Linked DNA regions of Saccharomyces cerevisiae S288C. The protein of the gene in region 1 binds, or shares a complex with, the protein of each later gene. Each region holds a gene or a part of one and is shown on either strand. Other genes may lie near its edges. A codon is read from its position in the direction of its gene.

Region 1 (5,196 bases):
GTTCTCAAATTCATAAATTATTCATTTTTTCCACGAGCCTCATCACACGAAAAGTCAGAAGAGCATACATAATCTTTTAAATGCATAGGTTATGCATTTTGCAAATGCCACCAGGCAACAAAAATATGCGTTTAGCGGGCGGAATCGGGAAGGAAGCCGGAACCACCAAAAACTGGAAGCTACGTTTTTAAGGAAGGTATGGGTGCAGTGTGCTTATCTCAAGAAATATTAGTTATGATATAAGGTGTTGAAGTTTAGAGATAGGTAAATAAACGCGGGGTGTGTTTATTACATGAAGAAGAAGTTAGTTTCTGCCTTGCTTGTTTATCTTGCACATCACATCAGCGGAACATATGCTCACCCAGTCGCATGTTGTTACCCTCATGAAACATGTATGAGATATTACTTTGAATAGGTTACTTGCATGCATTTCGGCGTGCGGGTACCACCTCTTTGCATGAGCTTGTTCCTTTTTCAAGTTGAAGACTATATATTTTATTGAGTTTATGTTATGGGGAGGCTACCCTTTACGTCCTGGTTGTCCCTTCCCGCCTTGATTTGGCCTTCATTTTTTCAATTCTGGCCTTTAGGGTAGATGTCACTGCAGCGGCACGTTTATAACTTTCTTCTGAGGCAAAACTATCGTTGAAATCGATATCCAAATCGTCGGAGACACTGCTCACTCCAGTGCCGTTTTTTCTGTACGGCCGTATGTTAAGAGAGTTTACGCGGTGCGGCAGGTCGCCGATGGACTCGCTTGATCTTCTTTCATAGTTGACGTCCTCTTTCCTTCTGACATCTTCCTCCTCCTTAAATGGCAAAGCGGAAGATAAAGATTTTACCCCATAGTTGCTTGACACGGTGGAAGAAGGTATGGAGTATGATGAAATCGTACCCATCGATTGCAAGTTTGTATCATTTCTTTTCTTATTTCTATCCAATTCGATCTCCATGTTTCTAAGCTCGTTTTCTAGTGACAGTACTCTATCAGACAGCTTATTGACATCAATCTCCTTGGATCTTAATTGAATGTTCTTTTCGTTCAATTTAGACTGCGCTTCCTTTAGTTGCTCTCTTAGCATTTCGTTTTCTTTAATCATTTCGATCTTATAATTTTCTGTATTATTCATCTTTTCCAATAGGCTTTGTCTTTCTTTGGTCCATATCATCTCATCATTTTGTAGTTTTTGCAGTCTGTACTTGTATTCTTCAATCAACTTTTCATTCTTGTCAGTGCTATTAGCTACTACGTTTTTTGGCGTTGCCAAAGACTTAGACGTCAACAGGACCCTCGATTTATTGTTAGCAGCTACCATTGATGGTTTTGATGCGGAGGCTACTGACCCTATTGGGTTCACTTTACTTTTGTTATCATTTCTCAGCGGTGAAGATGCCACTCTCTTGGAGGGAAGTACAGAACTTTTTTTCAGGAGAAATTTATTCTCCATTGGCCCAGTTTGTTTATTCGTTTCAATAGTGCTATGGGTACTACCACTTGCAATACTGAAATTAGGTAGAGTTTTGACCGTTTCTTCAATTTTTTTCCTTTTCAAATTATCCAAGTGCTCTAATGTTTTCACAAAGGTATTCATGCCAAATATTTTAATTAGAATGGCGAAACTCTCAAATCCAATAGTTCTTATAGCAGGTTGGGTGTCGTTGACGATCTGAATCACAATTGGTACCACTTCATCCTTCAAGTATCTTTGCAGGGTCGAGTATCCATCTTTTTCTTCTTTCATGCTTGCATTAAACAATTGCGTACACTCCATTCTGATTTGAGGTGTCTTGTGCTTCATATGCTCCAAAATATCTTTCAACATATCTTCATTGCGTCCACTGGAGGCTAATGGATCGTAATACTTGCAGATGGTTAATAATGCCTTCCTAATGGCCTCTATCACAGAAGGTTTCTTTTCCTTTGTCCTGTCTAACAAGGGAGTGAAGACTAGTGAAACATAATCCTTGGAAAAGCCTGGTGTTTTTAGTTTGTCGCAGATTAATTCTACTGATTGAGCGGCTAGTGCAACAGCTTGAATGTTTGCATCTTTCTGGATAATATGGCCATATATCCCCAATAAGTTGGAATAATTTTGCGAGGTGCTTTTTAACTTCTTAGTCTGCGATAGAACACTATCCCAAAATTCTTCCAGCGCTTCCACTCTATCTTTCCATTTGGACGACGTTATCCTTTCCTGGAAGTCCTTAGGCAGTTTATCGAGGATCGTCTCCTCCGGTAGCATACTGAAGGTGTCTATTTGAACTCCACTTTGCTGTTTTGATGGTGGCATATCCGTTTCCATCCCCATCAATGTATCTCCATCCTTATCTATCTGATATTCCCCCTCATCATTCGATAATATGGACTTTCTTTTCCTGGCTTCCTCCTCTTGGCTTCTTTTCTTTTCCAATTCTCTTTTCTCCCACTCGAATAACATTTTCGATGACGATGGCTCGTCACCAACTTTTGCAAACAATTTATGAAGATCTTTCACTTGAATTGGTTTTAATTTTTTAAACAGTATCTCCTCTAACAAGTCGCTATTGTTGCCCGTAACCTTATAGATCTCGACAATCAAATTCATCGTTTGTGATCGAACGTTTCTATCACCATGACCGGCTAGTTGAGGTACGTGCTTTAATAATTCTGGTAGAAACGTTTGAACGTTCACATTAGTGAGCCCGAATGCAGCCATCAACTCATAAACACAATTGGCTGCCGCAGCAATTAATTTTGGCAGTTTTTTCTCGAAAAAGGGTATTACCAATTCCACCGATTGCGTAATAGATGTATCAAGACCACATAGTGAGAGTATACAGCTCATCGACTGCGTCTTCGTTGTAGCCCTTGAGGACGTTAAGCCCTTTTCCACAAGCAATGGTGTCCATGTTGATATTAAAGTAATATTATGTGCATTTTTCAAAGACGATGACGCAAAGGCATCTATTAAACTATTCAAGGCAACAATGGCTTGTTCTTGAGCGACCACATTAGAATCAGTTATATATTGTGCAAATAATGTAGGATCCCTCCAGTAAATTTGTATGTTGTCATCCCTACTGATGTCGCCAACGGAGTTTCTAAAAAGCTGGTTTAACTCCTTATAAGCTTCTAAACGTGCCTTCCATAACTTGTACGTTAATCGCTCTTCTAGGGGTAACGTTGTATAATCTACTTCTTCTTCTCCTGACATAGTCAACTTCAAACTCTTTAATAAAAACTCAAAAATACTTTACACTGTAAAGATAGCTGTTTCTTTGTAGTTTAGTAATGCTATTTGGTCCCTAGGTCTGGTAGGTTCTTCATTTACTCTTCCTATGGAGTGTCAAGCAGACAAAACAAAAACAAAAACAAAAACAAAAACGACACGAAAAAAAATAGATTCGTTAACCATGATAATCTTTGCACCATATAAAGGAAAAGACAAGATTGACTTCTAATGCCCAGCACAAATATTATCCAACTATTTAATTAATAAATTTTTGACTACTTAATCTTCAGACACAGATTCCTTGTCTAATAATTTGTTTAATTGAATATTGACAGATTTATCCTGCAGCTTGAACAAATTTCTTGCGCGAAAGGTTGCTAGGAAAATCAAAGGTAGTAAAAACATTAGAACTGTATCGAAAACGTAAAGGCACCATTCGTGCTGACCTATATAGCTTTGTAAGCCCATTAGAAATTGTACTACTCTGACAATGGTTCTACCATTAACCAGCAATATCCCAGCTAAAAGTATAAAATTGTACTGGAACCATTCATTACTATCCCGCACAATTTTACTAGGCGTTGCCTTCATTTTATAGTGAAGAAAAAGTTGACTGAACGTTAAAAAGGTATAACAAAATATCTGAATGAAAAGACCCACAATAATTAGGATACGCCCAGTATTCCTGCTGTTCCATGAGGATAACAACCCACCTCCTACAGCCTGTAGGACACGCCCAATCATATCTGCCACTACGAAAGAAACTGTACTAAATTTCGCAGGAATTAACATATATGCCTCCATAAGAATTAGACGTGCCATTTTGCTGAACAACATAAAAATACTAAGGGCGTAAAGTGAAGGTGCTATCAATAGAAGCACCGATTGAGCAATGAAAGTCGAAATCGAGGGGCTATTGATAAAGACTATTTTCAACACATAACCCACGAACTCTAAACAAATCCCTAAAACGAAAGGAAAATGTGTCCACATCAAACCGCGGGCAGGAAAGTATATTATTGTGGAATTTTCCTCTGACAACTCATTGTTTTCCCAGCGATGAATACGTCTCTTGCTCGTGTGTGTTGCCATTATGATCTGCACCAAGGCAGAAAGGATTAAAATGCCAAACAGAACGACAAATGCAATCGCTGCACCTTTGTGAGGATTGTATGCATAAAAACCTTCATAATCAGTGATTGCTTTAGTAAAAAAATTCCTATTGAGGCAGTTGAGTTCTTTTATCGACAATAAGTCTCTAGTACAGTAGTGAGAGTGTCATGTATTCAGTACCAAGAAGAACTTATATGCCTTTTATAATTCATCTTATAAGTTGCTAGACATACAAATAATCAATATGGAAATGTGCTTATTCCCGCTAATATCCATTAATATCCGCTGTCATTTTTCGCAACTATCACCAAGTGGAGAGAGGCTTGACAACCACCAGAAAAAAACTAAATCAGCCTGCGGAACTTTTCTCGGAAAAAATCAGTTAGAAAAGATCGTACATAGGGCCCTTTTTTGACAGTAAGATTAAAGAGCAAAACGGGACATTATAGATATGCCACCATCAAATACGTGAATTTTCCAAGCCTCATAAACTAATAGCCAACTTGCAACTCTTATAATGCAAAACTTTCTCCGTGAAAGTGTAAACCACCATCTGTCGCCCATCTTTTGGTGCTTTCAATTAAGCCTCTAGGGCCTGCAGCGAGAACCCATACTTGTGACAAATATTCAGCATGGTCTCTGCCTTGATTCGCCCACCTGCAACATTGAATAGAATCCGTCTCTGCATCACATTCGGTTTGCAGACACCATTCATAATCCTTATCTCCAAGTGTAGGCCTGCCAAAGAACACTTTAACACCTGCGGGAATTCTGATCTTTTTAGGCGCCGCCTCTAAACAAGGATCTTGGGCAGGTGGCTCAATGATCTTTGGTTGTCTGAAAACGCTCGATCCGTTAAACGAAGAATGTG
Region 2 (3,795 bases), on another chromosome or scaffold:
AATTTTACGGGTTCTTGTTTTACCTTCTAATGAATTTTAAGTTTTGAAAAGCAGAAAATCAGATATTGAAACTATAGATCTGCTTACCTTGAAGTTCACTATTTTTGGAATTCTCCTTGCTAATAGTTACTTCTACTCTTGCTTTGTCCTGGATATCAATGGAAGATGTCCTCATTTCCATTTTTTTTTTCAATTCGACGGCAAGGCGGGAGAAAAGGAACTAGGGATACAAAAATGCAATTACTAATGAAATCCGTGAAATAATCATGGAAATGGGTGATGTAAGAATCTGATGAAACAAGTACAAATGTCTTTGGCCCATCAACTACGATGAGACTTACTAAGCTTTCATCAAATGCAGGTTAGAGAAGGAGAATGGTTTTTTTTTTTATTTTTTGTACATAGATATTAGAGAAATATAATAAGTAGATTATAGATAAGATATCACCAAAGAGATATAACAGTAGGGGGAATTTTTTTTTTTACAATATACTTGAAATATAGAAAGGATAAGGAGGTTGGGGGCGAGAGTGAACCTTAAAATTCCTCTTCCTCAGCGTATGAGTCGGCACCCACTTCGATGTAATCTCTTTCTAAAGCAGCCAAATCTTCTCTAGCTTCGGTGAATTCACCTTCTTCCATACCTTCACCGACATACCAGTGGACGAAAGCACGTTTGGCATACATTAAATCGAATTTTCTATCGATTCTCTTCCAAGCCTCAGCAATGGATGTGGTATTTGACAACATACAGACGGCCCTATCCACAGTGGCCAATTGTGAGTTTGGTGTGGCAGTTGGAGGTTCGTAGCAAATACCGATCTTGAAACCAGTTGGACACCAATCAACCAATTGGACGGTCTTCTTGTTTTTCACCTGCTCGACAGCTCTTTGAACATCTCTTGTTACCACATCACCCCTGTATAACAGACAAGTAGCCATGTATTTACCATCTCTTGGATCACACTTGACCATCTGGTTACCAGGTTCAAAACAAGCGTTTGTAATTTCTGACACAGAGTTGGACTCATGGAATGCCTTTGATTTGGATAAGACTGGAGAATATGAAACTAAGGGGAAATGAATTCTTGGATATGGAACCAAATTGGTTTGAAATTCGTTCAAATCTACATTTAATGAACCGTCGAATCTCAATGATGCTGTAACAGATGATACCACTTGAGCAATTAGGTTGTTTAAGTTTGCAAAGCTTGGTCTTGGGATATCCAAGTTTCTTTTGCACATGTCGTAAATAGCCTCATTATCGACCATGAAAGTACAATCTGCATGTTCCAATGTAGTATGTGTAGTTAAAACTGTGTTGTAAGGCTCAACCACAGAAGTAGACACTTGTGGAGCAGGGTATACGGCAAATTCCAGCTTGGATTTCTTACCGTATTCAGCGGATAGTTCTTCCAACAGTAAGGACCCTAGACCGGAACCAGTACCACCACCAAGAGAATGGGTAAACAAGAACCCTTGTAACCCATCACATTGGTCTGCCAGTTTTCTAATCCTATCCAGAACATCGCCCAAAATTTCTCTACCAACGGTGTAATGGCCTCTTGCATAATTATTAGCCGCGTCCTCCTTACCACTGATCAACTGTTCTGGATGGAACAAGTCCTTGTAAGGACCGTTACGGACTTCGTCAATAACGTTGGGCTCTAAATCCACGTAAATAGCCCTTGGAACGAACTTACCGTAGCCGGTTTCATGGAAAAACGTGGAGAAACCCTCTTCTCCTCCCTTCGGCTTTGAAAGGCCATCTTCTAGATGTCCATCCGGCTTAATACCGTGCTCAAGGGAATATAATTCCCAACAGGCATTACCAATCTGACAACCAGCTTGACCGACTGTAAAGAGAAATCAAAAAAAAAAAAATTTTGCGTTGAAGTTAGTAATGAAAGATGAAACGCCAAAATGAACTAACAAAAAAAAGATCTAGCCTGGACGGGCAAATCGAACATACCATTAATACTAATAACTTCTCTCATTGTTTGTTTGCAGTTGTAAGTTTACAGATCTTGGGTGGCGAGAACTGTTGTAGACGGATATACTGAATTGGGTAAAACGATATAGTAGATGTTTTTGTTTTGTTTTGTTTTGTTTTGTAGTTTAGTTTTTCCCTTGGCTCGAGGCGTTTTCGCGTGGCATAACCCGGCCGGAAACTACGGTGATATTATCGTCTGGCACATATATATATATATATATGTAAACTATACTTATATTAATAGTTTCCGATCGTCTTATTACTCACTTACTATCAATGGAAGCACTATTTCATTACTTAAAAAATACTTTCTATTGCAGGATCTGAAACAGTCAGTTATAATGGAAAAAGTATGCAATTGTGTTTTCTTAAAGAAGGATACAGATATTTATATATGTTAGTTCCTCTGGAATATATCGCTAGATGCATTAAACATGAAGAAATTTGCCGTATGAATTATTCCTGTATGTACACCAAATGTGTCATGATCTTCTTGTTTCTTCAATGTGGCGCTGGCATTCGAGAGTGATGATGCTTGGTGTGAGCACTTGAAATGTCTCCTCTTTAAGAAAGACAATCCTATCCTTTCATGATCAAGGGCTTCTAAGGCGTCTCTCAATGCCAATTTCAAATCGGTAGGGTCTGACACGGTCTGGTAGCATTTATTAATGCAGTGGGTAAGGAAGAGGGAGGGCTTGATAATGTGGTTGGCTGAAATCGGATGGCAGTGCCCGCCATTGATAGACTCAAATTTTACTGTCTTCGTACAGTGGTTGAAGGTCAGTATGAGTTTTGACTCGCAGATCAAATGTATTTTGTACTTTTCAGGAGTCCTTGTTCTTTGTATACGCTTATTGCTGAGTTGCTCGTGAACATTCATCTCACAAACGAGTTCGTACTTGTTCTTATTGATTTTCTTTGTCCTGTAGATGAAACTAATGAATGAATATACTCTAACGAACTGCTCAAACGACAGGGTACATAGGAACTCGAAGGAGGATTTTGGATGCTTGAAAATAAAGTCCCTGAAGTTTAGAATGTTGTTGATATTTTCGATCTCGTCCTTGTTTACTGGATGGTGATATTCCTGTGCGCATGCAATTAGTTGTTTACCAGACCTAACTTTGCTCAATTGTGCCTTTGTTTTTGCACAACCAATGTAGTTTGGAATCTTCCTAATTAATTCCTCGGTACTATCTCGCTCAACATCACGGCCGCCGCCATTCCCGATCACAATTTTGGGCAGGATAGGATGTGAAACTCTGTCCTCTACTGTGCTGGGCACAGGCGACGGTGGTAGTTTCAAATCTGGCAGCTTTATGGCGACCGGGGCCAAAGGGGGTGAGGGAGCCGTTGCTTCAAACTGAGGTCTTGGGGAGGTCATAGGTGTGATAATAGGCATCATTGCGGCATGATTTCGTACAGCGACAGGGATAGTGACAACCTGTTGTGACCAATGGACGGGCGTATTTGTGCTCATAGAAGGCAATATGGGTGTTGGCAAGCACCTGGGGCTGGAGTACCCAAATGTCAGCGAATGTTGTTGATCTAACGCCAATATGATTGGGGGCAGAACGGGCGATAGGCACTGCCTGCCTGGAGGTGTTCTGGGAACGTGCGCCTGGTTGTTGTTATATACATGTAAATAGTCCATTGAGTCTTTACCAGGTTCTATCTTAACTAAAGAACTACTTCTACACAAGACTTAAGGCACCTTCATACGAAAACCCTCTCCACGATGGCGTTCAATCTTTCGTCTTTATATACATATGTTACTTTATATATTTATATATTTACGTATA

Evidence for each region.
Region 2: the proteins of STU2 (region 1) and TUB1 are in contact, whole or in part, in a crystal structure (PDB 4U3J), measured with the Saccharomyces cerevisiae proteins. Residues at the interface, in NP_013146.1 of Saccharomyces cerevisiae: Asp513 (codon at 1,658), Thr514 (codon at 1,655), Gln515 (codon at 1,652), Pro516 (codon at 1,649), Arg519 (codon at 1,640), Phe523 (codon at 1,628), Asp546 (codon at 1,559), Leu548 (codon at 1,553), Lys549 (codon at 1,550), Lys551 (codon at 1,544), Lys552 (codon at 1,541); in NP_013625.1 of Saccharomyces cerevisiae: Tyr109 (codon at 1,557), Thr110 (codon at 1,554), Val410 (codon at 654), Gly411 (codon at 651), Glu412 (codon at 648), Gly413 (codon at 645), Met414 (codon at 642), Glu415 (codon at 639), Gly417 (codon at 633), Glu418 (codon at 630), Glu421 (codon at 621).

The regions. Positions count from the first base shown.
Region 1 is NC_001144.5:234,510-239,705, forward strand, and holds STU2 (Stu2p), read right to left. Parts: upstream 3,195-5,196; coding exon 528-3,194; downstream 1-527. Other genes in the region: YLR046C (uncharacterized protein), read right to left, coding at 3,492-4,304; FRE8 (putative ferric-chelate reductase), read right to left, coding at 4,838-5,196.
Region 2 is NC_001145.3:97,404-101,198, forward strand, and holds TUB1 (alpha-tubulin TUB1), read right to left. Parts: upstream 1,998-3,795; coding exon 1,973-1,997; intron 1,857-1,972; coding exon 538-1,856; downstream 1-537. Other genes in the region: YML083C (uncharacterized protein), read right to left, coding at 2,391-3,647. UniProt on the Saccharomyces cerevisiae protein: Tubulin is the major constituent of microtubules, a cylinder consisting of laterally associated linear protofilaments composed of alpha- and beta-tubulin heterodimers.